Schizosaccharomyces pombe: one gene and its partners. The gene in region 2 interacts genetically with the main gene of each other region. Each region holds a gene or a part of one and is shown on either strand. Other genes may lie near its edges.

Region 1 (9,388 bases), 510 kb from region 2:
CAATGTCGTAAACTAGATACTTACAAAATTTAAAACATAATTGCATTTATTTCAAGTTTTATACAGGAAACTAACGCTTCATCCTATATTTCAAAAGCTAGGTCAACAGTTGAAAATAGGAGCAATAAATAATTAAACAACAAGGACTGTTTAAACGAATGATTAAAAAAGATTAATAAATAAAGATGACAATAGAATAAAATTTTTGGTGGAGATTTCAAACAAACATCAACATTTTAGTCGATCTAAATAAAGCGATTGGGCATTCCTTTTACAATTGGTGCGACGCTTATCCAAATTTGTTCTCTGTTAGCTTCATAAAAATGAAGTTAAGTAATAAAAAGCTCCCCTTAATGAATCGTTATCCCAACATGTCTCTTTTCAAATAAAAATGCTGACATTTAGCAAAAAAGGATAGTCAAAAATGAACAACGTTTTGCAACGTAAGTTCAGTACTTCTAAGCACTTGGAAAAACAAGTGATTGTATTTGCTGTCAGTTTTTTGGAAATTTAGCCTTTTTAACGACAAGCGGTATGCGTAATAATACAGATAACTGTGTCACCAATATATTTTGAAGCAGCTTCAAAAAATACAGGCACACAAATTTTTAACTTCTTTCAGACAAATCGTCAATGTATGTAATGTACAGATATACTGTTCTAAAAATCCATCCTAGAAAGAACAATGGAGCAACTATTGTTTTTGGCGGTCATTTTCAACTAGATTTGAAGCATTAGACCCGTTAGTTAGTTCTGCAAGTAGTGACTTAGCACTCTTTGGTTCAGTGTGGCCTTTACGGCGTGTTCTAGGAATTGCAGGTTTTTGCAAACGCTCAGCAGCTTTCAGTTTGGCACGTAAAACCTCCTCATCAGGATTTGCCGAAGAAGTTAATAGTTGGGAATGTCCTTCCATTTTTTCAAGAATCATTTTGGCCTTATCTACAACATCATCCCCTTGAGCTCCGGGCTCAAGTGTAGCAACGCCTTCATCGGAATAAACAGTAACAGTCCTTTTAGGGACATTTTGTATACGAGATCGTAATTCTGACATTACAGTTATATATGGATCTTTTTCTTCAGCATAATCTGGTTTTTCAAGGTCTTCCATTTTATCAAGATCTTCCATTTCGTTATCATCTCCGGTCTTAGCATCACCTTCTATTTTACTGGCATCTTCCATTTTTTCATCAATTGTTTCTAAGGAATTTTTATCCTTGGAGGCCGTATCTTGTTTATCATCAGAGTCTTCTGGTAACTCTCTTTTATTTCTGTATTTTGCTACAATGGATGTCTTTTGGCGACCACGAATCAGTTTGTCACGATCCTCCGACATGATTCGTCTTTTCTCCTTCTCAAAACGTTCCTCATTCTCTGCTTTGGCGATGGAATACATTTCATAAAAAGAATTCAGGTTTTTGAAGAAAGAGTTTCTAACCTTATCAATGGAGTCATATTCACAAAGATACTTCACAGTGTTTTCAAGTTTAGTGAGCATATCAGTTTTAAGCTTTTTAATATTCCTAATCCTTTCTTTAGCCTCAGGCAACCATTCGGAAAGAATATCGTACGCCTTATCATCTGGATGATGCTGGTCGCATTTCGATAGAGCACCGTCTTTGAGAGACGTTTGAAAGTCGCAGAATTCATCATAAGCACCATCTACACCCGCAACCATAGCATCTATATTGTATCCGGAAACACTCTGAATTTTTTTAAACGTGGATTCCGCCTGCAATAATTCAGGGAAACGAGTTCGTATAATCTCATCAAAGTAGTGCATCAAAGTTAGAGCTGAGGAACTATCTCGTAAAGTTTCAAGGCGATATATCATATACAAGGAAAATGCAGATGCTCGATCATAAGGTTCATTAAAATAGTTGCCAATAATCAGTAAGACTTGAAAGAATTCAGCAAAATTTTTATCCTCCATAATACTGTCCGAAGTGTCAATGACTTCTTTCATACGAACTTCAAGTATTTCCAAATCACCAAACAACGTCGAGCGAAATTTTAGAGCTTTCATCCTTTCTTGGAAATAGTGCCGAAGGTTAACGACGAACAATACAAAAAATTTCTCAAAATAAGATAAACTGTTCACATCCGCCGTTGGTTCTTTTGGATTTTTCTTTGTGTAATCCGTACTATAAGGAATGAATGGATCGGTATAGGCATTGGTAGATGCAAGGCTAGCGCGGTCAAAGTATAAAATTGAGGCCGGTAAAAAGTCGGGTTCGACTAAAAACTTTTGAACTAAGTCCTCCACTGGCATATTAGATACAGACCGCAAAATAATAGCCATATTTTGTTCAACTGTATCAGGTAAAAGAGAAGATCGTTGGTCAGAAATTTCCACTGCAACAAAATCTTCCCTAGGAGTGTTATCAAATTTCTCATCCAAAAAATCGAGAAGCCCATTATCTATAAAAACTTTAGCGGTAATGTCAAAATTTAAGCAGAACTTTGTGAAAACATTTGGTCCAGGCAGTGGATCAACCCGTTGCCAATGGACGCGCTTCAAAGGACGAGTTGGCTTGTGAAGATCACGAAGACTAGGGATACTTGTATACTTTTCTATGGCTGCTCTCGCTGCATCATCAGCAGCTTTACGCTGTTTTCTGGCCTCTTCAAGTTGAATCTTTTGTTCTTCTGTTAAGCTGGTTTCGTCAATCTTAGGCTCTGGCTCCGCCTGCGGTGCTGGAGCATAATATCGGCTTCCACCAGCAGAAACAGCAGGGGGTGGAGGTGGTGGAGGTGGAGGTCCGGCTCCTGCTACACCAGGTGGAGGAGGAGGTGGTGGAGGTCCACCCATAATAGGAGCTGGAGGAGGAACTGGAATAGGAGCTGGAGCTGGTGTTGGAACTATTACAGCAGGAGGTGGTGGGGGAGGAGATTTAAGTAATAACTTTTGCTGCTCTTCTACGGTGTCGGAAACATCTGGTAGCAATGGCGAAGGCGAGGAAGATATTTCACTTCCGGAGAAAGATTCGTCCAAATCTTCAGTTTTGGATGGTGTATGTACACGAACAGGAATTCCACTTCCACTTAAAATATTTGGCTCAACATGATAAGAAAACTGTTCGGTCATCGCATCTAGAGAATCTTGAGAAAGGTTTCTTCTATGAACACTGTCAAAACTTTTTGAAACCTTATTAAGTAAGCCCGGTTGTAAGTGCTGCTCATTTGAATTCTGCACGTGTTCCATTTGGGATTGCAACTTATTGTATGCTTGAATTTGAGCTCTATAACGCGTTTCAAATTCGCGCTGCATGGATGCGAGGAGATTGTCTCTAAGATTTAATTCAGCTTTCAATTCATCCAATTGTTTCTTCAGAAACTGCATAGGGTCGCGGGGCCCAACGTTCAATTGGGAAAGCATAGATTCAACTTGTTCTTTCAGATGCTTGTTTTCAAGCATGGCTCCATTATACTTTGTCTTGTACTCTGCAATCTCCTCTGCGGTACCAAGTTTGTCTAAAAGTCTTTGAGATAGGATCGTTAGACCGACATTAGTATCTGCTTTGGCAGTTTTGAAACCTTCCAGTGCCTCAAGCGTGTGAGTCAATAACTGCATACTTTTTTGAATTTTTCCGTTGTCGGGTTCAGTCACAAAATACTCGAGTAGTTTAATGAAACTTTCTTTAGACCCCTCACTTCCCGTAAAGCGAGTATAAATTCTTTGAAAAACATCCCAAACAGCCTGTTGTTCCGGAGTTGTGGGTCGATTATTAGATACAGGAGTAGAGGTCTTTCGAGTAGTATTTCCATGAGGTGTATGTGATTCTTCTCTATAGTTCATCTGTTTCTTTACGCATTTCCTATCTACATTATTCACATCACTACCACTTCGGAAACGCCGAGCATCTGCATTATGCTCTTTGATTAGTAATTGCAGAGCATCACGGACGTGTCTGTTTCTCCATTTTAACAAAGAGTCGATGGCCTTTTGAAGACCAGCAGATAACAATTCATGCCTTAGAGCACACCTAAGTTGCAAATCCGGTGGAGCAGCACATAAATCTCGAATGAGAGCTAAAGTTGCAACAAGGTAATCAATCAAGCAGTCCGTATCTTCAAATTCGTCCATGTGAACAATCGCTTGAGGAGATGAATCAGCACAAACTCGGACACCAGTAATCACATCATTAAAGGAATGCATCCATGCGCTAAACCGAGTTTTTGATAACTTTTGCTCGACGAGCCATTCGAAAGCCCTGATTACAGCTTTGAAGTAACTCAACCCCTTTTTATTACAAAGGAATTTAAGGAGAAAAGTAGCCATGCGAGCTGAATTTAAACTTTTTGAAAGCACAGTCTCAGCAATAGTACCTAGAGCATTAAATCCTGGAACAGAGCATTTAGCTGAAGACTGATAACGACGACGGCAGTTTTCGCTGTTCAAACAGTGAAATAATGACTGTATTATTTGGGATTCAAGAGGTGTTTTAGATGCACGTTCAGGATAGTGACCCAGGTTTCTTAAAGCAGACAGTAAACTTTCAATACCATTTCTTTCAGCAAATTCATCCATCCACCAAATTGGTTGAATACGTAATTGAACGTTTAATAGCGATAAAAAATGGTAAGTAGGTGGGACTTCAACGACTTTTTCAATGAAAAAGTCTATCCTTTTTAAAATTCGATTATAAGTTGCTTCATCTAAAACAGTATGTTGGTTAGTAAGAGGAGCATCATCGTCATAAAAAGTGTAGCGCTTGGTTCGCTCGTTGGTAATCTCTTTAACAATGGTAGGTTTTGGAAATACACGGGATTCTAAAGGATAAATTTTACGTAACTGCTCAGTTTCGGATAAAAGTTTATCATTTATTTTTGTCTTTTGGTGATAAACAGTGTTGTAGCACATAACATATTCGGGGTCATTATTGTCATCGGAAGTAAGAGAGAGATCTTCTCGCGACTCAAAATCATTAGTACTTTGTAATTTAGAAAGATCTGAATTTTCAGATAGGGAAATCGTAGAGGGTGTTCCAATACGTTCGTTGGAAGAGGTAGAGTAACTGGAATTTCGAGATTGAATAGAACGACTAGTAGGGGGAGACCCTTCAGGCATTTTAGATGCCATTATGAATTAACATACCAAACTGGTAATTTGGTTGTAAAAAAGATACTAACGAAGCTGATTAAGGAATAAATGGTAAGGAAGAAAGCAATCTTTGGTGAAAGAGAAAATATATCGTAATGCAGAGCTTAAAGCTCCGCGGTAATGTCAACCAGATTTTAAAATCGTTTGGATGATTATATTAAAAAGTTGAAAGGAACGCAGGTATCAGATGTGATGCGAAAGTACAGCTTTTTAGAAAAAGGGGTAATCACTGTATATTGTATAACAATAAGCAAATACTGAAGGTTAAAATCAATTAAAGTTAATAATATTAGCCTTATTGCAATAAAATGCTTGATAAATATGCAAATTTAACGTTTCGAAGAGCGTTGGTAAAGGATGAATTTATGTCGCCCAAACCATGTTATTATATAGCAACCTCAACACCAGCAAAACAAAAACCTTATTTCTTCGAGATAAAGGACACAAACAACTTTTTTCAAGCTAAATTTTTAAAAATAACTCAAAAATTGTAAACAATTTGACTGCGCTCCATTCTTGTGAGGTGTATAACTGGTTACGTTTGTTTGTTTACTTGAAAATAGCTCATTTCTAAATACTTCAAAAATTGCGAAACTTTAGCTTAATTTCATTTATTGTAGACATCGACTTGAAGTAAATAAACAAAACTCGTACAATGGAGTATTTTTTTTTGCTTTTTTGAACATTTGTTACGAGCACCTTTAAGTCTCTCAATTCCGTTTACCGTGTCACTATTCATAAGGGGATATGGAATGCTACCATTTTCTAAACATCTGTTCTGTTAATTTGAAATTCATTTAACCCGGGATTTATATTTCTCCTTTCTTAGCATCTCAAATTCTGAATGACGAGTCGTACGAATGAGTTTTTTGGATTAACAAAAAATGGCGACATTGATGCAGCAAACATTCCTTTGAAAAGAATAAGTTATACGGATCCTTTTTTGGCTGAAGGATATAGAATTGTAAGTTTGAGGACGAGTTTTCTGTAATTATTGAACCAATCGGAAATTTAACCTCAACTCAATTGATCACTGTGGAGATGCGCTACCATAATATACGATTAATTATTGAGTGGGATTGGTTTAAATTTTTGACAGTATTAACTTTTGTTATTGCTTTCTATATCTAATCAGAGAGTTCAAATTGCTAACGTTAGCAGCATGAAACGATTGTTAATCTTCTAGTATTTTTGAAAAAGATTCGTGGAGCTTATTTAAAGGACAGAACATTTTCAAATGTCCAAAGACTCTCAAAACCTTTAATGGAGTGTTCACTTGAGGAGCTTTCAAAGCTTGAGCTAGATGAGGTTCAAAGGGATGAAATAGAACATGAAGTCTCTTCGGCAATCAGTAGCTGTATTCATCAAATAGCTAAGTTGCAGGAGATTGTGAAAGGTAAGCTTAAAATTTTAATACTGGTAAAATTATGTTTACTTAAATTATAAACAAAACACAGGGACATGCTTGCTAATTGCATGAGTAGAACAACAAAGTCAAATCCCTAAAAAAAGTGGTTGGCTGCAAGGTTTAAGAGACCCTAGTAAATTATCGAAAAAGGAAACTTTAGTCGCCCACCATTCATCTGTTCTGTGGTATCTGCAGTCTGAACTTTCCGATGTTTCTTCTGTTCTATATCATTTACAAGATCTGAGATTAAAACGAGGTCAGGAAAAGCGAAACATTGCTTCAGACTTTTTAACAAAAAATCCTACTGATGAAAATTCAGCTGTTGAGATCCCTGAATCTGAATTACAAACATTTTTTACTCAACAGCAACTTCAAGAACTTGAGCAAGAGAACGATGTTTTACTCCAAGAATTTGAACATACTATGGAACGTTTACGTGATACAGGGAAATCTTTGGCTGATATTACTAGACTTCAGTCGGAAATATCCGCTCAACTATCTATTCAATCAAGTGCGGCTGAAAAACTTTATGATGATGCCCTTAATGTCATGGATTCGCTGTCTGGGGGTAATCAACAACTAATCAAGGCCAAATCTAGAAGTAGTCGGACCGCTCGTCTGCTTTTTTGCATCTTTACCGTTATGGGACTTTTATTGCTATCCTTGGATCGTATTGTTTAATTCTCTTCATTCTTCTGAAACTTTATATTGTAACAATAATGACAAAGGAATGAAACTCGTTCTTCTTTGATCATGTGAAGTTCATGTCTATAATCTCATGTAAATATAATGTTTATGCTTATTCTTTCGACCATTCCTTGCACGCCCAAATAAAAATTCCTTATAATTCATCTTGGGTACGTTAGTTTTCCAAAAATTTTCTGGCCATTTACTATGAAATAGATTATGGTAAAATTGTAGCTTGAAAAATCTAGTATGATCGAATGTTTATAGAAGTTCACAATCAGTCTCGATTAATTCAAAGTCAAATTTGTTTGTTAAACATTCAGCTATATAATTTAGATTGATGCATTGGACATTAGCAAATTAACTAAATGCTTAGTCAAAAGGGATGTATTGGAAGAATATATTCTTACCCTGCCAAATAACAGAAACGATAAAAAAAAACCCACAAATAAAAACAGTAAGTGGGTTCTTTTCATTCGTGAAATCATTGTCGCGCTTACATTTCTTTTTTACAACCTCTGTAGCTAAATTCAAATTTTAAGTAAAGATCGTCGTCAATCACTACTCTAGTAAAATTTCTCAAACGAGATTTTATTTTCGTATTTAGAGTAAAATAATCTTGAGTTTTTAAATATATCTTCAACAATTATTTCTCTTACTTTGCAAGAGTCGACAACCAGCAATGATGCGCTTCAACTTAATAATAGCAATCAACTTCACCCTTCTCTCTATCAGCATTTAGCTTCTTCTTTCTAAATCAATTAACATAAAACAAGCTGAAGTATTACAATTTTATAGCAAAATTGGCCTCAGTAAGCCAGAAACTTAGGTTTTCTTCCTTGACAATGGAAACAAAAATTCAAACAGTTGATACTCGCCTTATCTCTTTTGAAAAGCCTAGTAATGATTCGGAACATCCTTTTGAACACACAAGGGTGTCCATACCTCCCTCAGAAACTCGTTCTGCATTAGAGAACGCCGCGAATATATTGAGAAACACCGATTATCCAGTTGCTTTTCCTACCGAAACAGTTTACGGTCTCGGTGCTGATGCCCGAAGGACTGAAGCAGTCTTGTCAATATACAAAGCAAAGAACCGCCCTGCTGATAACCCTTTGATTGTACATGTTGCTTCTCTGGATCAGCTACGTAGATTGCTGTTGAGTGCATATCCTAAAGCAAAGTCAGAAGTAAAAAATCAAGCACATGACTCAGAGGAGATTATTCCAAAAGTTTATTTACCGTTGATTAAAAAGTTTTGGCCTGGTCCACTCTCAATTTTGCTGCCAGTTGTTGACGAGGCTAATCCCCCGGTCTCACCAATTGTGACAGCAGGACAAAAAACGTTTGCTGTTCGCATGCCTCAACATCCTGTTGCGCTTGCCCTTATTTCTATTTCAGATTCGCCGTTAGCTGCACCATCGGCTAATGCTTCAACAAGGCCATCTCCTACGTTAGCTAAGCACGTTTACAATGATTTACAAGGTAAAATTCCTTTAATTTTAGATGGGGGAGCATGCGGTGTTGGTGTGGAGAGTACAGTTGTAAATGGACTTTGTGATCCTCCCGTAATTTTACGGCCAGGAGGCATAAGTTTAGAAGAAATTCAAAGCTCTGGAGGGGCCTGGGAGCGAACAAAAGTATTCGTAGCTAAAAAAAGTGATATGGAAACAGATTTCATCCCTCAAACTCCTGGTATGAAATACAGACACTACTCTCCAACTGCCAAAGTGCTACTTTTTGTCAATTACACAGAATCTGATGCATACGGTGTTTTTGAAAAGTATTTATCTGAGCAGGGAATCACTAAGGAAAAGCAGAAGATTGGTGTTTTATGTAGTAAACGTTGGAACGAAGAGTCATTCCCTTCTCACTGTCCGTTTGTATTTTTGCATATGGGAAGGGATGGACATGAAATTACAAAGAATTTATTCGCTCAATTGCGAGATTTGGATCTGCAGGGAGTTGATTTTGTTTTGGTTGAAGGTGTCTCCGAGGAAAATGAAGGGCTAGCTATCATGAATCGTTTGGGCAAAGCTGCTTCTGTGGTTTTTGAGGGGCCTTCTCATTAGTTAAAATATTTATAGCTAAGGGGTCTTAGCTTTACTTGTATAGAGGTGTAATTACTTATCGAGCTATCTGTTTATTATTTTGATAAATTGTCTATAAAAGAATTATTTATATCATATTCA
Region 2 (10,549 bases):
TGCCCAAATTTATCAGGAATGGTATAGCTTCTTTCCTAGGTATGTGTATTCAACCAACTGTATGAATGATTTTTTACTTACCCGACTAGGAGGTATAGCAAATGCGATTGGAGGTGCCAACGATAATAATGACATTCCCTTGGAAGAAACGGAGGCCGAAAGCGAAGTCTAATTGCTTTATTAATGTAGTTGTCGCTACAGTTGGAAAACCTCTTTACCAAAATCACCAATGCAGAGAAGCTGCGGCGTTTTTTAAAAAATTAGCACCAACTTTCTTTAATCATCCTCTTTCACTATAAGTTTATGGAATATATGCTTAACTTATTCTTTCAATTACCAAAGATTTTCAACCAATGCATTCTACGATGTTGGATAATGTGCATTGAGGACCGAAGTCTTTATTTATAATGTATGCGAGTCTAATTATTTGTCTTTTTTAATGGTACTCTACGCTACAAACAATAATGGTTTAACTTGTTTACGACAACTTTAAATCAACTAATGAAATCGGAAAACTCGTTGTTCCACCTTGTTAAATTCACAATTTCATTGTCGTTGTTACATTCATTTCTCCTTCATCTTGATTCTTAATTTAATCAAGCTTAATAATCATTTTTCCCTTCTGTTTAATGGTTCAATTCAAACAAAATTTAATGTTTACAAAATAATGAGCAGCATAATAGAATATTGTGGTTTAGAACGATGGTTTGTTATCGTAATTACGTGTAAGCTACGCAGTTTGGTATCTGATTTAAGGATACGTAGAACTGCGGTGAGTTTTCCTTGTGATCTATTATATTACAATACACAGGTTGTATAAGTAGCAACTGAGTATAGGTATTGTATTAACTGGGTTATAATGTTACCTATCACTAGTATAGCTCATAACTGAACCTCGTTCCTCAGTTCAGTGGTAGCTCTATTTATAGTATTCAGATAATATAGATCTGAATAGATTATCATTAAGATTAATCTCCATATCGTATCATACATGGTACGATATATAATTAGAACATGTGACATATAGTGATACGCAACGTAGTGTATCACTATATGTCATATGTTGAAATACTAGTTAAGATCCGCTTGTTGATAATCACAGGTAACTATTCGTCTATGTACATAAATACCCGTTGATAACAGCCATTTATAAATAGCGTTACAACTGAACCTCGTTCCTCAGTTCAGTTATGAGCTATACTAGTGATAGGTAACATTATAACCCAGTTAATACAATACCTATACTCAGTTGCTACTTATACAACCTGTGTGTTGCAATATAATAGATCACAAGGAAAACTCACCGCAATTTTACATTTCGTTAAAGTGGATACCAGATGGATAGTTAACTCGAATTTCTTCAAATACGACAATTTTTCACTAAAGTAGTTTAGTGACTGAGTAAATAGATCGTAAACTCGTGTCTGCCCTCTACCACTTCACTTTTACCCATTTTATTGTATTGAATGGCAATTAACTTAATTCGCTTCGAATTGCATATTTTCAATACGGCAAGTTTCAACTAAGAAGGAGAATTTGAAATAGATCTGTAAAGACGCGTATCTATAACTTGCTTATTCATTACGCGTTATTACGTTTAGTATAAGAAAAATACAGTCTGTCTTTTAGGTTTTGGCTGTTTTCTTTTTTCGTTAAAAAACAAATTGTTCTGAAAAAAAGGAAATTTATATTGATAGGTTGATGTATACGACTTTCGAGAATGTATCAGAATGGTAAACCAGATGCCCCCACAATCTTAGGCCAGAAAAGAGAACTTGAAGATGTAGAAATACAAGATGATGATATTCAGGTATGTTAACGTGTTGAGCCTTTAGGCATTCGAATGTTAAGACATGTCGCTAACTCTGTTAAAGGAAGTCTCTAAAGAAGACTTATTAAAGGATGTAAGAGTGAGGAGCATTCAATTTGATGAGTTAGAAAGTAAAATAGAGGGACTTCAAAATTTAGCAGAAGAGAAATTAAAAGTTTTAGCTACTTTGGTCTCTTGGTGGCCTGAAATACTTCAGCAGTTTAGCGTTGTGTTTCAAGGCAATGAGCTGAAGGACTTCGAGAGTGAAGGTGTTTTTTCGATTTTGGAGAAATTCCCGGAGCTTTCATACTTCAATGACGCTGTGAAAAATAATAAAACTAAAGCCTTGAGCATCATTCAAAAACTCTTGTCTACTGTTGACTCAAGCACAAATTCGGTCTCCAGAGATCCTTTTTCAGTTTTATCAATTGATGACTCTGCCCTTACTGAGAAATTAAACACCATTAATTTGGATATTGACAAGATTTTAGATGAATTGGATACCACTCGGTCTCAGCTTCATTCAATTATAAAACTACCAGATCGCTCGTCTAGTTTTACTTTGCAATGCATTAATGAATCAGTGAGACCCCAGTCTACTAAAGTGAAAGAGGAAGCAACCACCTCCTCTAAGGGGAAAGATGAAGAAAAGAAAGTTAGCACGGTTGAACAACGTACTCAACTGCAACAATTATCCAGGCTTCAAGACCAACAAAATGGTTTAATGGAGTCTCGCTCACAAAGCCTTAAAATTTTGGATTCGAACGTTAATGAAATGGATAAATTAATTATGGAACGAGAAAACGCATTAAACAACGTCGAAACTACAAACTTGAAAAAATACTCTTCCTTTTTAGCACTTAAAGAAGCTGTTTCTATGACATCTGAGCAGTTACGCGTATTAGAGCACTTATTGTCCGAATGTTCTCACGAAATAAATGTATTGTCGCAACAGTCAAAGAATTTTAACGGTGTTTTTGAATCTTCCTATCAGCCGTTAATAAACGATCTTGATCATCAAATATCTGTTATGCAAAACGATGAAAAAAGAATTAATAACGCAAAGACTGAATTAAGCTTATCCCTTGAAAAGAAGTTGGAAGCTAAAAAGCAAAAAGAGAAGGTCTACAAAGACAAGTTAGATGAACTTGCGAATTTAGAGACAATGGTATTGGAAAAGAAAAAAGCGGTGGCTACCCGTGAAGCTGCAAACAAAATCCGGCTCGTAGACCTTAACGATTTGGAGTTACAAAAAGATCTGTCAACTTACCTTTCTAAAGAGTTGGCTTCTACTGAAAAAGCATTTAGGTTGGTAAAACAGCAAACTGTGAAAAGTAGCCACTCCCATTATCAAGAATTGATAACCAAATTTAGTGTCGAAAAGGAAAAGGCGGAGCAAAAATATTTTCTGACCATGAAGTCTACAGATAGTCTTCATGCTGAAGTAAAGTTACTGCGCCAGAAGTACCAGAAGACCAACGAAATTATCTCAAAAATGTTAAATAGCCAAGACACTGCTGTCCATAGAATAATAGAGTTTGAAGATCAGCTAGCCCGTCTATCATCGGTTCGAAATAACTCTATAAAACAATCAACAACGTTTCAAGTCAAAAAGTCATCTCAAAAATCAACTATTCAAAACCTGGAAGAAAAGGTGTCTTATTTACAGCAATTTATGGATAAAAATAATGCTACATTAACAGACCTTGAATTTCAATGCTCAGATTTATCATCTTCTATAGATATACTTTCCAAGCAAGATGAAGAGCATGAAAAAGAGAAGCGAAAGTTAAAGGATACTGGGGTATCAACGTCAGCTGAAGAGTTAAAAACTTTTAGGGCCATGTGTAAGTGTTCAGTTTGTAACTTCGAGCGCTGGAAAGATCGAATTATTTCTCTCTGTGGTCATGGCTTTTGTTACCAATGCATACAAAAACGGATTGAAACACGGCAACGCAGATGCCCGATTTGCGGTCGTGGATTTGGTGCTTCTGATGTTATTCCGATACATCTTTGAAGAATATGTTTTATTTGTGTAAATTATGTCTTTCAGGAAAACGCTGTATATATAACAAATCATTTTCCTTAATATAATCTTTGAAACTAGGTCACGTAGTTTTTAAACTATCCAATGCATCTATGTTTTTAGTTAATAAATTTATTATTATAAAATCATTACTCGTCATTATAATTAAAATTCTATATTATACGGTTAAGGATTTTTTCTCGCACCACCCACAGTGTTGTCGAACTGAGTTAAAACCGAGCCAATCTTTTTCTGATACTGCCGATAAAGATCGTCCCTTCCGTTTCTTTTTGCATCTTTCATTAATCGCTGGTAATAAATTCGGACCATCTGTTTAACGTCAGGCAAAAGTTCCTTTTTGGGGGCAGCAATGAAGTGCTCGATAATTTTCTTGGCACCATTTTGGTATATTCCAAAGACTCTAGAAGATTTAGGAAATTCAACGTCGCCATGAATTTCCTTAACCGTCTTAAGAATCTGAATCATTGCTGACATATTTTTCAGCATCTGAAGACAGCTGCCTCTATTCATTGATTCTATTTTGTAAAAGATAGAGTATAGCGATGAATCAACCAGTTCACTCAGACCTTGGAATACAAACCTATAAAAAGTTAGCAAATCAATATAAGGAATTCATTTGTTATTTACCTTCGTTCCCATTCATTCAAACAGGTTTCGAGTTTCAAATTCGTCGTCACAATAGTAGAGTTGAGAGCCATTATCGAAGCATCTGGTCTTCCGCGGTACTCGACAACATAGTCAGGAAGGTTTACACTTTGATTAATACTATGAATGTACTGTAACCGAACTTCCATTCGGATTAGCAGTAAAGCATCGAATTGGAGCCTCTGTAAAGAATCAAAGACTTCTTTATATGCACTTTTATAAAAATCAGTATAAAGTTCAATACATACAGTAACATACCCCTTCATTAAATCCGAATTATTACCCAACAAATTATCAATTGGTAAAAAGTCACCACCGAAATTAGCTTGGTTTTGTTGCAAAACGTTCATTCTTCGCGAACCGTTCATAAATCTTGAAAAACAGCGCTGAAGAAACCATTCCATGGAGTTATGAAGATAAGAAACCGAGTTCACTAGGTCGGAATCTTTGGATAAAACCGATACCGGAAGTTTAACTTCGGACGTAATCGCACGATCTTCATATTGTAATAAACGCTTATTCTCCATTCGACAAAGCTCATTTAACCCTTCAAGTGATGGATTTTTTTGCTTGAGGAATTTAATAAATTGAGGGTACGTTACATCGTCGTGAAGTAGCTTTACTCGAACAGTATCATCGACATCTTCAGTATCCTCGTTGACATGTTTGTATTCTTTGAGAACAGCCGTTCTGCACAAATCTATAAAGGGTAAGCTGGGGAAACAGTGAAAAAATGGAAATGAAACATACCAGAGAGATAATCAGAACAATGGTTGCGAAAACGAACAAGCAAAGTATGTAATAATTCATAAAATTCTACCAAATTTAATGCAACAATAGGCAAATAATCTTGAAGATCGTGAAAATATTGAACAATAGCCACATGGCACTAAAATTAACGTTAATCGTAGCTTCTTAATGAGACTATACCTTAAAAATTGGGATTTTAGAGTATATCTTCCAATCTCTGTGCAATTGGAACGCACCCACGTCTTTCATTATGGTGTCAAAGTGACTCGACATAAACTTGTATAATTGTGGAATGTAACTTCCCCTTAAAAATTCTTTCATAAAATTAACAGCAAACTGAGGAGGTATATTTGGGCTAAATTTTTGTTAGCAAAATAATCCAAACTCAACTTAATTGACGTACTTTTTCAAAATAGACACACTGTCTTCCAAAAAGAATACGGTTTGAGGTAGGACAGACGAAGCATGAAAAACCGAAGGCCCAACAAATACAACGTGGCCAGCCAAACGTACAATTTCTTTCGAACTTCCAGAAAATAGTTCAATAGTGGAAACTGAAGCATTTGATTTATTAAGAATAAGCTCTGGAGCCTTTTCGTTAACCAACTCATTTATTCTGGCATAAAACGCATTACTTTTGTTCTCCACAGCAATTTCGTTTGTTACGTCGAAAAGTTTATCTTCTTCATTTTCGCCAGGGAGGTTGTATATGGACATCTCAGTTCCAACAACGAAATTTCCACTATTTTCAATATACTCTTCTTTGGAAATAAGATAATCTTTTAACATTAACCTAATTTCGCTCTCGAATGCTTGCAGCAACGTATCAAATGGAAACGTGCTATCAGAAGTATCAAATTTTGATACCTTTGGGCTTGTGGGGTCCGAGTTAACAGACATAATGCTAGATTTGTGAGAAGATGAAGCATGCTTTGGTGTTTTAGTCTCTAATTTGGTCATGAATTCGGAGATACCGCGATAATGCATTAAAACACACCTTAATTTTGTAAATAAGTTCGTCAAGAACTCGGAAATCATAGTATGCTCTCTATCAGTCTCAGCGTGCAAACCTATATCATAAAGTGATTTTGAAAAGGGATTAACGGTAGAAACGTTATTACCGAGTGAATATTTGTTAACGATTGCACGTGAAGTAGAATCTACCGTAGTAAACATCTCCGCAGAAGTACGAGACTTTAAAGATGAAATAGCATTGGGGAGTTTTCCCAATAAATTCAATGACTCCAAAACAATACGTATATCACGTAAACTGTCTCTACCATAATCCATTTTTAAGCAATCCGACAACTTTAAAGAAAGCGCTTCTTCTAGGTAACGCAATTGCTCACTTTGGCCCAGAGTTGATGTATTTGCATTGTTTTTTAAAAAATCTCTCAAAAAATATGGGTTGGAAGTTTCCCTCAGCGGATTTGGAGAGCAGTACGATACTATGGGATAAGCGACAGCATCTTTAAGGAAAGTAATTGAAACCAACTCTTCAGATAGAATGTCCTCTAAATGTGACAAGAGTCCTGTCATCCGACTTTTAAACTGCTCCACTACTAATATTCCGTCAAAATCAGAACGACTTAATTCATCCCATACACGACGTATTAAATCGCTGGCATGATAATATTGCTTGCTATCAACAAGCGTATGAAAGTTGTCAAACAGCTGGTTGGCTTCATTAAGTTCCTTGAGCACACTTATGACTTTTTTGTATTGAGAACTACGAGCCAATGTTTGTTGAAGCTCTTTGCTATTAGTATTACCAATGCATTCTTGCGAAGCCTCAAGGGATTGCTTTAATGCTATGATTCTCGAATTGCACTTCTGAATTCCCTCCATTATTTCTCCATAAGCCGATATACCTCGAGTAAAGTCATCTTTATGAGTATGGGCAATCGTTTGTAATGCAGCACTAATTCGATCGTAAACGTTCAGAAAAGACTTATAATCTCTTCCAAAGCTACTGTCATCTAATAGTTCCAACGCTGTAGATATCGGTTGATACTTAACCATTCGTTAGTAAATTCAAACATCCTCCAATCTTCACTTATTCACGCAACATACGTCTTCTCTTCCCAGGTCTTTCCATTCATCCTCAATTTCATTTACTAAATCTAGCATAAAGGTTAAATCAAAACTCCCTGCTGCTTCACCTTACTTTCTAAATCGCCTATGTGCATTCCACGCGATGCATACTCTGAACTCAATTCATTGTCCATGCTAGTTCCATAATTTGAGTAGCCGTTAGGAGATTCCAAGCTTTTCTTTCCCACTGGATACCTTCCTTTTTTCGTTTCCGAATAGCCTCTGGTATCCATGGAAGTCAAATAGTCAGTAGTTTTAGCTTGATATGTCTATTGACTGTATTATCTTTGAAAGGAGAGCTAAGAAATCACTATATGAATTACGTGGACCAACGCACTGCTATTTATTACAGCGCACCTTGATTTAATACTTTATACTGACAAGGAGCATGCAAAAGAACTCTGTATGTGTTTCAGAGTTAATGGGGGTGATGGACTATTGTATAAGAAAAGAATGATAAGGGTGTAACTAAGCTACTACTACCACGAAATAATACTAATATAAACAGAAAAATCAAGCATCCAAGAAAAGGCAAATTAAGATACTTCGCAGAAAAGTACTTTGATAAATAACTATGCCATAATAAAAAAATAAGGTATGATGAGATGATTAAGAGAATAATAATATGAGCAATGCCAAAGACCAAAATAAAAGTCAGAATAAAGGGGTGCAGATGTAACAAAAAAACTAAAAAAGAAAGAACGGTTAAAAATGCGCAATCTCAATATGCATTTTCTCCATTACAAAAATCAACACATGACAATCTTAAAAGATAAGAAAGTAAAAGAGAGATTAAGGGCATTAGAAGGATACAAGTATTAAAACCAGTAATCCTTGTAACACAAACAACACAACAAATGGGGGCGGAAAAAAAATTTATAATCCAAGAAGATTCCAACTGTCATAGCTTCGTTACAATCACTGAATTAAGAAATTTAACGAAACAGAAAGATGAAAGACTAACGACTTCTTTATATAACGGATTGCCAATTTGAAGTAATATAAATAAATAGCGGGTCTCAAGCTTCCGAGCTCAATGAACAACTCAGTGCGCAAACTATCGATAAACACTTTTGCCAAGAAATATTCAACAAAGCGATGAATGTAAGTTCTAGAGTGCTTTGAAACTAAATGCATCAAGCAACATTTTAAAGCTACCATTTGAATTATTAGGTAGACGTCTCTCCGCAAGAGTCATCATCATTTGAATAACTCATCAATCCCCCAAGTTCATCGTAAGCATTAGAGAGACTGTCTTCATAGCCCCGTTCCGCAATTTGCATTCCCTTAGCTTCCTTCCATATTTTTAGAAAGTATAGCCTCAAAGTCCGTAAACCTCGTACGTATCCTCGATCATACGTGTCTTTGTGTTGAGGAGGACATGTAGCTTTTGCTAAAAGCTCTTTATCCTCAGCAAAAACACAATTGGCAAAATCAACAATCCGAATGTCAATTTCACGAGGCTTGACTTTTTCTTTGCTGGATTTGTCGCTTGGCGGCGGCTCCCCATCATATAAAAATAGTAATGAACTAGCATACAAGCGGGATCCTTTAAGAAACCTAACAATTTGCTCTAACTGCTCTAGCTTTCTAATTATCGTGGGAATATGATGCACCAAGAGATGGCTATTGTCTTCATCGTCATCCGTTTTCCCTAAGTAACGCATCAATGCGTGTTGAAATTCCTCTCCTGCTTTAATATCACGACCTACATACTTATCTTCAAATGTATATGATTGAAGCCAAGGATGCCAAACTTGCATTCCACATATTCGGACACCAAGAACTCGAGATGTAGTCATCGCACACTTTTTAGTTTGTGAGGCTTTCTTTTTCTCCGTAGCCATTATTCCGTATTGTCTAGTACCCATCTTGACATCCAACACACAAGGTCTTTTCATTCCACTCGTTAAGTCTTCAATCACAATATATCTCTCAATCTGGGTAGAATGTTGAGATTCCGAATTTTCCGCGAGGGCATTAGCATCATTATTATTATTGTTTTGATTATCGCTTGCTGGAATCCGGTGATCTTCATCGGCGGATGCCATGTGTGGAAGAGAGAGTACTCGCCTAGGATCATTTACGCTCCTGAATGGATCTCCAATTTCTGCTGGTTCTAGAGGTGGAGGTAACTCGCTGTTTTCTTCATTGTCCATAGCAAAAATAGAGTCATCGGGTACAGTTCCATGCGAGTTCGGTGTACTTCGTAGTTCCTTTATTGTATGTCCTGTTGACTCCCTTGAATCATAATCCTCCATTGTACCAGAAACCCGAGGAAACTCGTTAGATTCTGGTTCTTCCCAAACAGCATCTGATGAAAAGCGTCTATATGACTTACCTTGATTATTGGACGGTACGTTGAGGAGTTCCTCGTCGACTTCTTCATTTTCTTCGGCAACGGCGGAATGCAAGTCGTAATGTTTATCTTCAACGCTACAGGATAAGCTTTTGTTAGGATCTGCATCCTTATCACGAGCTCGGCTAGATGTGTTTCCATTATCCAATTGTCCAAAAGCAACCGAATTATCACGAAAAACAGAAGGTCGATGGGAACTCCTTGAATGGAAACGAGTTCCAAGTCGACGTCTTGCATGCTTGGGAGCAAAAACTTCTCGTAGAACTTCCTCTCGCAGTTTTCTGTTAATTAATGTGGTTCCCCATGGAGTTTTGGGCGGTATATCAGCCACGAAAGTAGGAGATACTGGCCGTTCTCCGGCTGAAGATGATTTATGGTGTAAAGATTTGGGGCTTCCATAAGAATGAGATCTTTTGTCGGGAAGCATCCATTCAGGAAAAATATGACGGTTTTGCTCAACACTAACCTCTGGAATGTATCCATAGTCTTTTTTCTGATAACAGCTGTTAAATGTGTGTTTATGGGGGGCAGGTGTTTTAGACGATGATTCTGTATTGACATATTCCGTAGTAGAATCGTTTTCTTCTGTTTTAGTAATAGTATGAGTCACATTTAAAACACCAATATACTTTGGGATAAAGGGAAGCAATTCTGGATGGCAAGCTTCAATAGTTTCATAAAACGTATTTTCATTTCTTGTAAGTGGTTTGCAAACGGCTCTTTTAGAAAACCGGAAGAAAGCCGTATGTCCACCGACTTGATGTTTGAAGGGTTCCAATCGTACAGTAACCGGATAATCAACATTCCAATGGAAAAAAGGATGGTCTTCAGGAGGAGATGATGA
Region 3 (6,185 bases), on a different chromosome or scaffold from region 2:
CATAAAAGTTTTTTCATTGTCATGTCTTTTTTTGTACGCAATATATAACTTTGTGTTCTTATCCATCAATTCCTGAAGACTTGCCTCCAAATCAGAAAAGCTAGATTCATTGTACATGACATCTGACATAACAATATAATCCCAATGACGCCGAAATTTTCGAGGAATGTCATGTCCCCATACTAAAATATCAGAAGTTATGTTGTTGCTCATTGCAGACTTATTCTTTTCAACATTTTTTTCCATAAATTCAATCGCATCTTCTGTATCGGTCATTGACACAAGAGCACGTGGATATTTGCTAGCAATACTTATACCAACAATTCCACATCCGGAGCCTAGTTCTAAAACATTGATGTCTTTTCTATTGGAAAAGCTATAATGCCAATCATCAGAAAGAATCTTTTTTGAGAAAACTACGCCGGCATCCCACAAGTGCTTAGCAATACTGTTACCCATCTGTTCGAGAAACCAGAGACCATCGTTTGGTGACTTTTTTTCTGGGCCTTGGATATACCGCCATACCATATTAGGTAAAGTAGATTTCGGTGAAAAAGCTTCACTCCAAACTGGTAATACAGTATCGGCATTTATGTGTATAGAATCAACGATTGAATTCTGATTTTCTAAATGCAGCGTCAATTGAATTTGCTGGTGACTAGCAGGAAAATACAAAGTCGTTTCAGCCGCGTGACCATTCCCTATCCATGAAACACATTGCTTAGAAATTGTGATACGACTGTGAGATTGTTGTCTATCCAATGCTTCAACCCTTACGGTTGCATCTTGCGGATATGAAACTTCGCCCAGATCAGAAGTTATCGTAAAAACCACTCGTAAAGCGTATTTAAAGGATTCTTCGAGCTTTTCTTGGAGTCTTAAAATTCTAATATAATAGAAAGTCATTCAAGCGTCCAAATACTTTAAAAATCCTTGGAAAAATAAAGAAAAGGGGGTCTTACAGAAATTTTTTTAATGATCTATTAACGTTCAGTTTCCCTTTAAACCACATTCACCAATCAATGAAATAAACCACTAGCAATGAAATACAAGTTGGTTGAAAAATTTTTTTTTTCGCAATTTGAAAAACTAAAATTCTCTGAAATATCAGATTATCGCCGCAATATGAGAGAGGGTAAACTGATCGTAAAAGCAAAACAATTGAACTAAGTTGTTAATTCATGCAACCCGGTAGCAATCATCATGAAAATAATCTCTGAATTGTTGTAAGAAAAACGCATGGTAGCAAACTTAAGTCGCAAGCAGAGCAACGAGTCATAACTGATAATACGAATATTCACATAAGGAAATGAACTTTATAAACACTCAATTACAAATTTGAGGGCATAAGCAATTGCACTAACACTTTTTTACATGTTGGTTTATTATGTGTTTTGCTGACTTTCCTTTTGTTTGTTACTTTTTTGTTGTTACCAGCGCACCTAAACGAGAAAACGTGTATTGATCCCTTCACATTTTAACCTCACAATACAGAAAATGGAGAATCAGGTGTCCAGTTTTCTAATTGATTCTCCAATGGAATGGAAGACTTATATGAAAAGCTTGAGTGATGATAATCCCAGCTTTGGGGACGTAACAGTTAATTTGACGAAAATTAGCGTATCTTCAAAAAATGCAAAAAGCTACGCAGAAGAAATGTATAATTATGTAACTCAAGAGATGGTATTTATCAGTGAACGTAGTAGACTATTATTGCGCGCAAAAAGAAGGTTGTACAAAAATCAATCACTTATGAAAAAAACGTCTGTGTCAACCTCGAACACAGTAAAGATGGTATTTATGTCACTAGCAAAGCAAATTGAACAAATGCTCAAATTCTGTATGATGGTTTACAGCAAATTGTGCGAGGCGTTTGAAACAACGTTAAAGGTAGCGAAGGAGTTTCAAATTTGCGATTCTTCTCAAGAATGGTTTTTCCAATTCCAATTGGGTTATCATAGAAAACAGATGGAATTACAGATGCTTTCTTTTGTAGCCGAATGGCTTGTTTTAACTCAACATTATACAGATGCTCTGAATGACTCGGCAAAAACACTTTACGACATAATGGAAAGTAGCCATAAAGCGGCACAAAAAGTTTAAAAGCATATTCAAATGTCAAACAAAATTTTCTTCTTTTAAAGGTGCTATTCAATTCATGATTCCAACAGTTGCTGTGCAAATTAAACTATTATCATGAAACAAACCACGGTAAAGTTGGTTGTACTATTGTGTGACTCCTTTTTCAAACTCATCAAAGTACGATTTTCAATTAAATTTTAAACTTTCAATTGAAAGGGTTGCCTCAAAATTGACAAGCCCTTGGTCAACTTTCACTAACTGGTGCTGTTGATTTTCTTCCTATTTAGCAATCACGTTATATATACCGTGTATTTCATTTTGAGACTGAGAGTAGACTTCCCCAATATATTTTAGTAAAACTATCCTTCGAAGGTTTTGTTCATCAATGAATTAATGCTTTACTCATCAAAATATATTATGAAACAATCCTACTTGCGAAGTTCATTCTGTATTACGTATTTCCGTATCTCTTTTAATAAACTGGTTCGCATCGCCTTAATTATTCTAAATTTGATTGTTACCTGAAATGTAGAAGCCAATCTACAGCGCACAAGGACATGTATGTCCTTCGCTAAGCAGTAAGCTGGGGTCTTGCGTAGGCTTTAGCTCATGGTACAAAATTCGTACCTAAACCAAACACCTCTAATCCTTTATTATACAGAAACCATTGAAAAACCCATAGAAAGCTTGATTGAAGCTCATTGAAAGTATGTCAAGCTGTTTCGGAAGTAAAAAGAAGCCTATTTATCGGAAAATCGTAATTCTTGGTGATGGTAAGGATCTTGGTGAAAATTTTGTTTTTTCTTTCGTGATTTTCGCAGCTAAGCATTCTAACCGTAAATTATAGGTGCTGCTGGTAAAACCAGTTTGTTAAATGTATTTACTAAGGGTTATTTCCCTCAGGTATACGAGCCTACTATGTAAGTATCATTAATAGTGCAAAGCTGTAAACGGCGGAGCGGAAATGAGGTTACCGTCTGCAATATCAAGTATAACTCAATATGAAGCATCTTTTTTTGCAAACCTTTTATCTAACGGGTTAATTTGTGGAAATTTGTTTCATTTCTGAGGAAAACGAGAATGCCCGAGTGTGCTCTCCATACAGTCACACTCGTACAATTTCTCATGACCAAACGTCAAATTGCTTTTACTATGCTTGACCTGTTAAGGGTTTTCACCACTTCTTTACATGATTATCTTCTTGTACTTAAAAACTTTTTCCGTTATCTAACACCTAAAAATAGATTTGAAAACTACATTCATGATATCTTTGTCGATGGAAACAGTATAGAACTGTCTCTATGGGATACAGCTGGTCAAGAAGAGTATGATCAACTGCGTTCGTTATCATATTCAGATACACATGTTATTATGATCTGCTTTGCCGTGGATTCACGAGACTCATTAGAAAATGTAATCACAAAATGGCTTCCGGAAGTCTCTAGTAATTGCCCTGGTGTTAAATTGGTTCTTGTTGCTCTAAAATGTGATTTACGTGGAGCTGATGAGGAGCAAGTTGATCACAGTAAAATTATTGATTACGAGGAAGGACTGGCAGCGGCAAAAAAAATCAACGCTGTACGATATTTAGAATGCAGCGCTAAATTAAATCGTGGCGTAAATGAAGCTTTCACGGAAGCTGCACGCGTTGCCCTTGCCGCGCAACCAAGAGGTACAAAGGATGGTGCTGATGAATCCCATGGTACCGGATGTATCATTGCTTGAAAGCACTTTCTTTTGAAAGCGCCTAAAAGTCTTATTTCTAATGTTCGAAGTTTATTATTGTATATGACGTTAGTGTGGGTGTTGCGGTGGCCTTTGAATAGCGTTAACCTTTTTTCAATGGTTTGTACTTTTGACTTTTATCCCCTTTGCTGTTCTCAAGGTTTTAAATTTGACACTTGGGGATTCTGTCCGTTTCCAATGAGTTTATCTCCTTATTTCAGGTGTATTGTCTATCTTTCTTACCTTCCTACTTGAAACAGCAGGTATTTGTACAATCGTGAAAAAGAGTGTTTGCAGTGAACCTTACTTTCCTTCTTTTTTGAAACTTGTACACTTTGAGTTGTTCAATTCTCCTTCTGTTCGTGTAATCGTTGAGTTGCTAATCTAATCAATTAATCTACCCCTTTTCTTTTACGATAAGCATACTGTTGAGCAATAAGGATTAGTCTTTCGGTTGTAAGACATGGGTCTGAGTCAAATCCTACCGTTTTAGAAAGCACCTTAAATATTTATGTAATATGAAGTGTTACCCCTAAATATCGTAATTGAAGTTAAAAATTGTAAAAATTTAGACTACCCAATATGTTGTATTCGTGCATCCGTGCAACCCTAATTCAATTTGATCCATTTGAAAGTAAAACAAAATTTATTATGTCTTTATCCTTTAAATTAAAGATCCCAGTCATCCTCATCGTCTTGAACACGTCGATTGATCTAATTAAACAGTTAAACTCTGGACCATGTAATATAAACAGATGTTTTTTTTTGATATTTCTCTCCTCAGATGAATTTGAAATAAAAAAGGAGAGAAGGAATTAGTAAGGCACTTACCACAATTTTTGTTTCATTACGTTTGGAGACCTCACCAGAAATTTTTTCTAACAATTCGATAAGTTCGGGCTCTGAGATTTTATGAGATATCTGGCCCGTTTTGGCCATACGTAACAGGAGCTCTTCAACAGCTACACAAATTAGACACATGTTTACATTATTCGTAAACAGATATTAAATTATTATCCGCCGCAGAAAATGAAATCACACTTACCTTCAGCACGATCTTTTCGTACCAACGCTATACGACGAAGTCTGTCTCTTGCTGGGTGTTCCAAAATTTGAGAAAGCTTATGAAATTGTTAGTCGGATATGGACCATACACATCATAAACATACTAGATTTTGTCGCATTTCATCTTGTACCTCCTGTTGTTGCTGATTGCTTGATGGACCTGAAGCAATATTACTAGATTTGTTAATTCTTGTAAAAAAAATGGAGTATATAAATAAATTAGTTTCTAAATTCACTATCGGATTTCCTTTGTGTAATTTTAAAATGATTCATTAAATCTCGTCATTTACCAACATAATCCTTCAAGTGAATTCTAATAAAAAATTATAACTTTCAGTCGTAGAGTTTTGAAGTTTATATGCAAGTTTCGAAACTAAGAACATACCTAGGGGCAGAACCATGTTCAGCTTGAAGTTGTGCTAAACGAGCTTGTCTTATAGCTTGCAATTCTTCATCCATTATGAATAAGCCTAATTATTAAGCAAGAACTGATGCACAAATGTTTTTTAATTGAGACTTGTGTAATGCTCAAATTTGTGGTGTTGCAAAGGATTAACGATAGATTTGCGGTACTGCTATGGAATAATAGCAATTAACAAGCGCTAGCATAATCAATTGTGTCGAGAGGACCATATTGGTGAGTAATACTTTTTTTAACTTTCTTTTTCTAGTAGACATGTACTTATTACCCTTATCTTGACAAAGCAGTCTGCTATCACGAAGAAACCTGGTCAAAATCCAGTGTGTGACAGCAACACCTATTCATATAGCATAAGCGATTATTAGACGATTACTTCCAAATCATAGTCAACCCCAAAACTTATTGATGAAGAAGTATTTTCAACGTAAACAATTGGTATAGCTAAATTGTTCAACGAATTAATAATTGTTTGAAACATGTTGTTTAATACTCTTTAATACGATTTAATGAATCACTAGTGTTAGTTACATAACATTACGCTGCATATTTCGTTATTTATCACTACATGGCTTTAGTTATATCATTTGCTATAATTCACCTTTTTTATAAACTCAAGATTATCAAGTTTGAGCTCAAGATAAACCACCTTTCTTAGTTCAGTTGTAAGCTATGCAAGTCTTTTTTATTATCATTGCTACCATTATTTAAATATTCAGAGTAATTTGCGGGTAAACTTACCTACGTAAAATTATATACTGCTCACAATGAAAACTCACCGTAGTCTATCGTATCCTTAACACACTTTATGAACTTCGTAACTGACACCAAAGCGTCTTATGATACAAGTGTATGAACGCCGTAAATTACCTTGACATGATATGTCAGTACTAAC
Region 4 (6,474 bases), on a different chromosome or scaffold from region 2:
AAAGTTTGTTGGATATTTATACACAAATTTTTAAGGAACTCATTCAAGAATACGAAGAAAAATCCGACTATGGTAAATATGGCACACAAGGAGAATACATTGAATTTAAAAAAACCATATGGCATGAGCAAAATACAGACGGTTCTGACTTTCCTTCTATGAAAACATTTTTTAATGTCATGAACACTGAAGAACAGGAAGCAGATGAAGTGATGGTATATTCAGCTACCTTTGATAACAGATGCCCTTTAACTTTACAACCAATTGTTCACCCAATATTATCGACAGCCTGTAATCATTTTTATGAAAAAGATGCTATTTTGTCTCTGTTAAATCCAACTTGTGTATGCCCTGTTGTAGGATGTGAAGCTCGTTTACAAAGGTCTTTACTTAAGGAAGATGAGATTCTTGAACGCAGATTACGCCGCGCTCAGGAAATAAGTAATTTAAAAGAAGCTTAGTCCTTTTCTATTTACATTGTAGTACTGATCCGGATTTATTATTATTATTATTATTATTATATTTAATGTATTTGTTTATTCCAACTTGTAAATATGCATAACATGTCTCTTTTGACTAATATTCTATGCTCGTACGGAAGCTTCAATTTTGGCATTTAATTATGAAGATAGTTAAATCTAATATAAGATCTACTTGATTGTAACCTTATGATAAACTTTGGCTCATGCTTGACTTTGACACTAGCCATTAACATACCATGTCCTCAGAAAATATGGATATTACTGAAAACATACAAAATGAGCAAAATAAAGATTTTGATGATATAGATTTTGAAAGAAGGCGTCGTCTTTTGACCTTACAAATTTCAAAAAGTATGAATGAAGTTGTGAATCTTATGTCAGCTCTAAATAAAAATCTTGAAAGCATTAACGGTGTTGGAAAGGAATTTGAAAATGTCGCGTCTCTTTGGAAGGAGTTTCAAAATTCAGTGTTACAGAAGAAAGATCGTGAAATGCTAGATGCACCTTGATGGTCGTTCTTTTCTAAATGTATTTTCATTGCCGCTAAACATATGCCTTAACGCAGTTTGTTTCAAAGAATTTGCATATTAAATTAAATTATTAGTTATTATATGTTTTTTATGAATCTATAAATTTAATAGCGTCCTCAAAAATTGGTCAAAGGTCAGGATTCTTTTAAATTAACTTACATATTACAATACACAAACCTTAAGTCACTTCATTAATAATGTGTTTGTATATATATATTAGTTTTTAATCTTCCTATATTCTTCTAAAAGCTGCCAATTTTTAAATAAGCCGTTCATCGTCTGAGAGGCAGAACAACTGTTGATGTTAATATTTGCATAGTAAACTTTTTCTTTACTACTATACGAATCCTTTTAGAAATTACCATTTTAATGGTATTATTTAAATTATAAAAGGGGTTTAATGCAGTTTAGCATAATAAAAAGGTAAAAGGAATCATAAGTATTCATTTCAATATCTTCTATATAACTATCGTTTTATTCACGACATGAATACCCTGAACCAGTCAGGGTTAAAAAACCGATTTTCAAAGTTTCGGACAAATATAGGCATATTTGAAGTAAAAGTAAAAAAAAACATTAAGACCAATTGATTTTTGCTGACATATATTCAGAATCAAACAGATAACGTCTTAATAAACAAATTATAAATCACAAAATAGCTCCAATAGTCGATAATCCATCTAAACCATATTGGCTAGTTAAATACCTGAAAAGATAAAAAGTTGAGATAGGAGCAAAATTCTGAAAAGGAAACTGCTACACAATATGCTTAGATTAAAAGAAAGCATACAAGCATAATGTCTCTATTGCAGCAAACGTTTGGAGTATTGGTTTATATGCAATTAGCAATGTTAGAATGCGTAAATAAAGCGTTTTTCTTGCTTCTTATGTTCCAACAATCTCATCAAATGCTATACAAATAGGCGAAGCAAAAATGAAGACATCAAAAATGGTAAGATTAAGTAAATAAAGGCCATGATCAAGATATTATAAAATCACGCAAGACTTTTTAGAAAACGAAAATGATTTTTTTATAGTGAGGCCAACAGCAAGTTGAAAAACTTCATTTACACCAGTGTTTTCTTTGGCAGAGCATTCGACATATGGAGCGTTCATTGATAAAGCAACGGATTGAGCCTAAATATGTTAAAAAAAATAAACGAAAGAAAAAAGTTAGCTTATCATTGACATACTTGTTGGTAGGTTACTGGTGTTAAACCCTGGGTTCTTAGTACTTCAGTAGCATTCCTATCTTTGCGTAAATCCGCTTTTAGCCCGACGAGAACGATGGGAGTTCTAGGGCAAAAGTGTTGAACTTCAGGATACCACTGAAAGAAAAATGTTAGAAAATAATATGAGAAAGATGAAATACTAATGGCTAGACGCAAATGACATTGAAGAAACCCAAAGCTACGTTTAGCAATATAAATTATAGAGCACATACCTTCTCCGTAACGTTATTCAGAGAAGCCGGACAATCAATTGAGAAACACAACAAAATAACGTTGCTATTCGGGTAACTTAGAGGACGTAAACGATCATATTCCTCCTGACCAGCAGTATCCCACAAAGCAAGTTCAATAACTTTGCTGTTCGGTCCATATGTTATATCGGTGATATAATTTTCAAACACTGTAGGCACATATCTCTAGCATGATGTTAGAAATCAGTATACTTAGATAATTCAAGTGAACTGAGTACATGAATCATATGAACACTGCACTTAAACAGTTATTGTTCGATCTATTGGCATACCTCGGGAAAAGTTCCGCTTGAGAATACAATTAAAAGACATGTCTTTCCTATACATCAAGCATTAGTACATTAGACCAGCTGTCATTCACCTATATTTATCAAGCATACCACAACCGCCATCTCCTACGACCACAAGTTTCTTTGAAGTCTCTGAAAAATTAGCAAAAACTTTAAGATATTTGAGAAAAAGGAACAATTGAATTACCTGACTTGGATCCACTCTTTTTGAAAGCAGACATATTGCCTTTGTTGTTGTTAATGTTTGCTTACCAGCTGAGATTGCTGGTATTTCCAAGCTAAACATTGCCATGACAACGCAGCACGTAAACAATAGGTAAATAAATATATAAAACAGTAAACGGAATATCCGCGATGAAACATATTTAAATTTATCAAGTGTGCATGGAATTTACGAAGGACTATGCCGGTTAATTGTTTTAATTGAAAAAGTTAGGTTGTTAGCCACCAAAAAAATTATAGGTATATATACCTGTCTATTTTTATTTTTAGGATTCAATGGACATTGCAAAGTTGTCAATTGTTGAGTCTGCCTAATAAAAGATGCTCGGTGTATTCATTATCATTCATATAATCCAAACGTTCTGTTTTCAACTAGTTCTACAAGCCTACATTTCAGGTTGCTAGAAACGTGTACATTAGTTAGATAAAAATACCTAACGAAATTGAAATATTTACCGCCAAAAGTATATATGGCAGGCTAGTCTAACACCTCATCGTTAAGTTGGCGACTCAATAAGTGAATTCATCAGCTTATACTAATTAATAAAGTAACGGGTTTTGGGAACTAAATTATTGAAGTAAAAATACATAATAATTAATTGATTATTCTACTTGGCCTTGAAGTACCATAACCAAAAAATTAACTCCCAAGGCGAGACTCGAACTCGCAACCTTCTGATGACCATCATAAGAGTCAGACGCTCTAAACCGATTGAGCCACTCGGGACTTGCTTGTACTTTAACGGATTAAATCTAATTTACGCATTTTCTTTAATTCACTTAAATAAGTAAGAAATGAGAATGAATAATAAAAATAATGTTCTGGCTATTTATTAGCAACATTCTAATAACTTTTGAATGTAATGTTAGCCCTTAAAATTTATAGATTACTGTTAGGTTTTGAAAATTTTTGTAAGTATGGGAAGTCATCATACGCGCAAAGGTAACAGCGTTTTGTTTGAAGAAGGAAACAATTCATGTATACTCGGATTTATTGCTGTTTTGTTTATACTCAACGCAACGCCCATGCTTAGAAGGTTGACAAGGAAAATTAATCAAACGGTTCTTGAGGGCTTGGTGATTGATTTGAAAGTTTGAAGGAAATGATTCATAGGCCTTAAGTATAGTTTGCTATTCCAAAACCTGTATACTGTCTACTAGAAAGAACGAGTAGTCTGTTTAGCTTTTCAGTTTGTCTGGATAGTTGTTTTCGATGGATTTCGAATTCCTGTACTGCTTCGTGTAACCGTACTCTTCAACTTTTCAGCATTGCGAAATTATTCTTTTTAGCTTTTTTTAGAGTTTTGATCATTAGGAATATTCATAAGAGAGGCTCTTCATGGAATCGTTGACGCGTTGCGGAAAACATAGATCATTCCTACCGCTTTTATTATGGCTGCAGACTTCATACTTCTGTATACAGTAGGAAAAAAGAGGCCTGGACATCAATTGAATCGCTGGGTGCAGTGTACGTGAGTCTTCTGCCTTTAAAATTCATTTACAGTTTAATCCTACCTTTCATTTGTATAAAATCTGTATCCATCATTTAAGTGCTTGTCAGATCACAACGAATTTTTGGTAGAAGAGTCTCGTTTGAATTACTGAACGTTACTAAAAATCAAGCAATGAAGAAAGTTTTATAGATAGTTTCAATTCCCCATACAAATATTAAATTGTATTGGTAACAATTTTTGCTTGTGCAAATTTGTTGGCTGAATGCTCTCGTCTATACTAGCTTCTTTTGGCATTTGTTACGGAGATAAAAAGTATGGAACTTAAAAGAGCTATTATAAAAAAAATGACTTGAAGGTTTTCCTTCTACATTTAATTTTGGTTTTTTGGTCGATTCTTTGTCCGTGCTAAATGTACAACTTCGTGTTGAAGGTACTATTTGGAAGGAAACAAAAACCGACTTGTGGTCACAATGTACATTCAAACGAATAGCAACTCTGGTCTGTATTCAATTTCCTTGAACTTGGATTCTTTGCGGCAAACAATAATGAACGTCCTGTTTCTCAAAAAAATAATGCTTAGGGTAAGATACTATTTTACATTACGTGAGATCCATGGATCAAAGCTTTTGCTTGTTCGCTAGTAAAATAGTTGACTACCCATTCATTAATATTTTGAGTGTAGCTCGTCCGTTGTTCCTCTTGAGCGCGTTTTAGGTTTTTTTCACTTGGTCTGAGCAAAATGTTAAAAGGAACGGGCCCATTTTTTGGTATGTTTTAATGATTAAATTTAAAATTACTAACTATTCAATTCCCAAATTATCAGAATTGCGTATTTAGTAAGAACGCGGTTGCTCATCTTTTTATTAAAACATGCTGAATTCCGTTTCCGGTTTCAAAATTTTGAGAAAGTGATGAATCTTATTATAATGTAAAATAAATTTAATGTATTTATTTGCGTACTAGAAGAGATGAAGTTTGTTTATTAAGCATAGATGGTATATTTTCTTGTCTTAAACAAATTTGGACGCATGTAAGACTTGCTTAGTTGATGAATATGTAATGAATACCCAAACAGATGAATTTAGAAGTTTATTAGTAATGTGAATACCATTACAAGTTATTCTTAATTGTATCTGTTGTACTAAGTATTATAGTAATAACTGTATAGAACAGTAAGTGTTACCTCAGTAATACTCGTTATTTTATGTAGTACAGTAGTACTGCACCTAAACATTTATTATTCCTCTTAAAGCTTTTAAAAAACTGGAACGTGGTTTAAAGAAATCCTCGGATTTCACCTACAGCGTAAATAATTTTGATCAAAAACTTGATAGTTTTATGAATATAAACGAGGTAGATCAAACATATAGATCCTTACTAACATTGAAACAGTGGGAGAAGTTTTCACTTTTCCAATGGCAAGAATGTCCAAGTATCAAAATACTGCATGATTCAGTGGTACGTTTAAAAGTATAGGAAGTGTACACTAACATGAAATTAGGGAAATAAAATCAGTTGCATTGGAAAAAGTACAAAGAGAATTGCAATTGGCACGTTGGATGGACGAATCGTTATTTTGAACTCTCGTTTGCAACTCATTCGTGATTTTTACGCTTGCGAACAAGGCATTGTCCAACAAATCTACATAACTGCAGATCAATCGGCTTTATGCTGTGTTGTTGTAAGTCACATGATATGTTTAAATGCTAATCATAATTTATGTTGGTTGTAGCTTGATAAGCAAAACTTTGTTTATTTACAATTTTGGTCCTTGAATCCATCTAAAAAAACAAACTCAAACTCACCTTTATGTCTTTACGAGCATCGACTATATGGAATTCCGAATCCACCTTTTCCTGCAACTTCACTGTATGTTTCGATTGATATTAAAACCGTGGTTTGTGGATTTGCAAATGGATTGGTTATACGCGTTGAAGGTGATTTTGTAAGAGATTTGGGATCAAGACAAGATATTATACTAAGAGAAAAAGATTCTATAACAAATCTTATCTT

The links.
Region 1: mutations in sec8 (region 2) and for3 are lethal when combined (synthetic lethality), as found in Schizosaccharomyces pombe (3 studies listed by BioGRID, with this or other methods).
Region 3: mutations in sec8 (region 2) and rho3 are lethal when combined (synthetic lethality), as found in Schizosaccharomyces pombe (2 studies listed by BioGRID).
Region 4: mutations in sec8 (region 2) and rho4 impair growth when combined (synthetic growth defect), as found in Schizosaccharomyces pombe (2 studies listed by BioGRID).

The regions. Positions count from the first base shown.
Region 1 is NC_003421.2:998,822-1,008,209, reverse strand, and holds for3 (formin For3), read right to left. Parts: upstream 5,461-9,388; 5' UTR 5,081-5,460; coding exon 695-5,080; downstream 1-694. Other genes in the region: SNARE protein Ufe1, read left to right, coding at 5,946-6,065, 6,263-6,497, 6,586-7,190; SUA5/yciO/yrdC family protein Sua5, read left to right, coding at 8,042-9,268. UniProt on the Schizosaccharomyces pombe protein: Involved in controlling polarized cell growth. Required for interphase actin cable formation and microtubule organization.
Region 2 is NC_003421.2:488,348-498,896, forward strand, and holds sec8 (exocyst complex subunit Exo4), read right to left. Parts: upstream 7,587-10,549; 5' UTR 7,580-7,586; coding exon 7,420-7,579; exon of another isoform or gene 7,376-7,419; coding exon 7,326-7,375; exon of another isoform or gene 7,266-7,325; coding exon 5,656-7,265; exon of another isoform or gene 5,639-5,655; intron 5,608-5,638; coding exon 5,433-5,607; intron 5,392-5,432; coding exon 5,253-5,391; intron 5,203-5,252; coding exon 4,761-5,202; exon of another isoform or gene 4,716-4,760; coding exon 4,485-4,715; exon of another isoform or gene 4,438-4,484; coding exon 4,023-4,437; 3' UTR 3,828-4,022; coding exon of another isoform or gene 1,875-3,827; 3' UTR 1,811-1,874; coding exon of another isoform or gene 1,721-1,810; 3' UTR 1,669-1,720; downstream 1-1,668. Other genes in the region: wtf antidote-like meiotic drive suppressor Wtf9, read left to right, coding at 1-39, 90-172; histone H2B-K119 ubiquitin ligase complex (HULC) subunit, ubiquitin-protein ligase E3 Brl2, read left to right, coding at 1,721-1,810, 1,875-3,827; kcs1 (inositol polyphosphate kinase), read right to left, coding at 8,516-10,549.
Region 3 is NC_003424.3:1,038,744-1,044,928, forward strand, and holds rho3 (Rho family GTPase Rho3), read left to right. Parts: upstream 1-2,705; 5' UTR 2,706-2,791; coding exon 2,792-2,855; intron 2,856-2,929; coding exon 2,930-3,002; intron 3,003-3,236; exon of another isoform or gene 3,237-3,326; coding exon 3,327-3,807; 3' UTR 3,808-4,340; downstream 4,341-6,185. Other genes in the region: efm6 (methyltransferase), read right to left, coding at 1-906; karyogamy protein Tht2, read left to right, coding at 1,498-2,103; SPOM_SPAC23C4.09C (chaperonin-containing T-complex associated protein), read right to left, coding at 4,477-4,521, 4,639-4,769, 4,853-4,928, 4,977-5,046, 5,258-5,331. UniProt on the Schizosaccharomyces pombe protein: Involved in controlling cell shape and septation. Regulates cell separation by modulating the function of the exocyst complex. Involved in post-Golgi vesicle transport. Involved in driving sexual development in a palmitoylation-dependent manner.
Region 4 is NC_003424.3:3,083,570-3,090,043, reverse strand, and holds rho4 (Rho family GTPase Rho4), read right to left. Parts: upstream 3,032-6,474; 5' UTR 3,007-3,031; coding exon 2,973-3,006; intron 2,918-2,972; coding exon 2,876-2,917; intron 2,815-2,875; coding exon 2,768-2,814; intron 2,661-2,767; coding exon 2,457-2,660; intron 2,341-2,456; coding exon 2,206-2,340; intron 2,150-2,205; coding exon 2,000-2,149; 3' UTR 1,425-1,999; downstream 1-1,424. Other genes in the region: Smc5-6 complex non-SMC SUMO ligase subunit Nse2, read left to right, coding at 1-461; DASH complex subunit Dad1, read left to right, coding at 719-991; SPOM_SPAC16A10.03C (Pep5/Vps11-like zinc finger domain-containing protein), read left to right, coding at 5,800-5,814, 5,854-5,919, 5,963-6,142, 6,194-6,474. UniProt on the Schizosaccharomyces pombe protein: Required for cell separation. Involved in the regulation of the septum degradation during cytokinesis and in the organization of F-actin patches and cytoplasmic microtubules.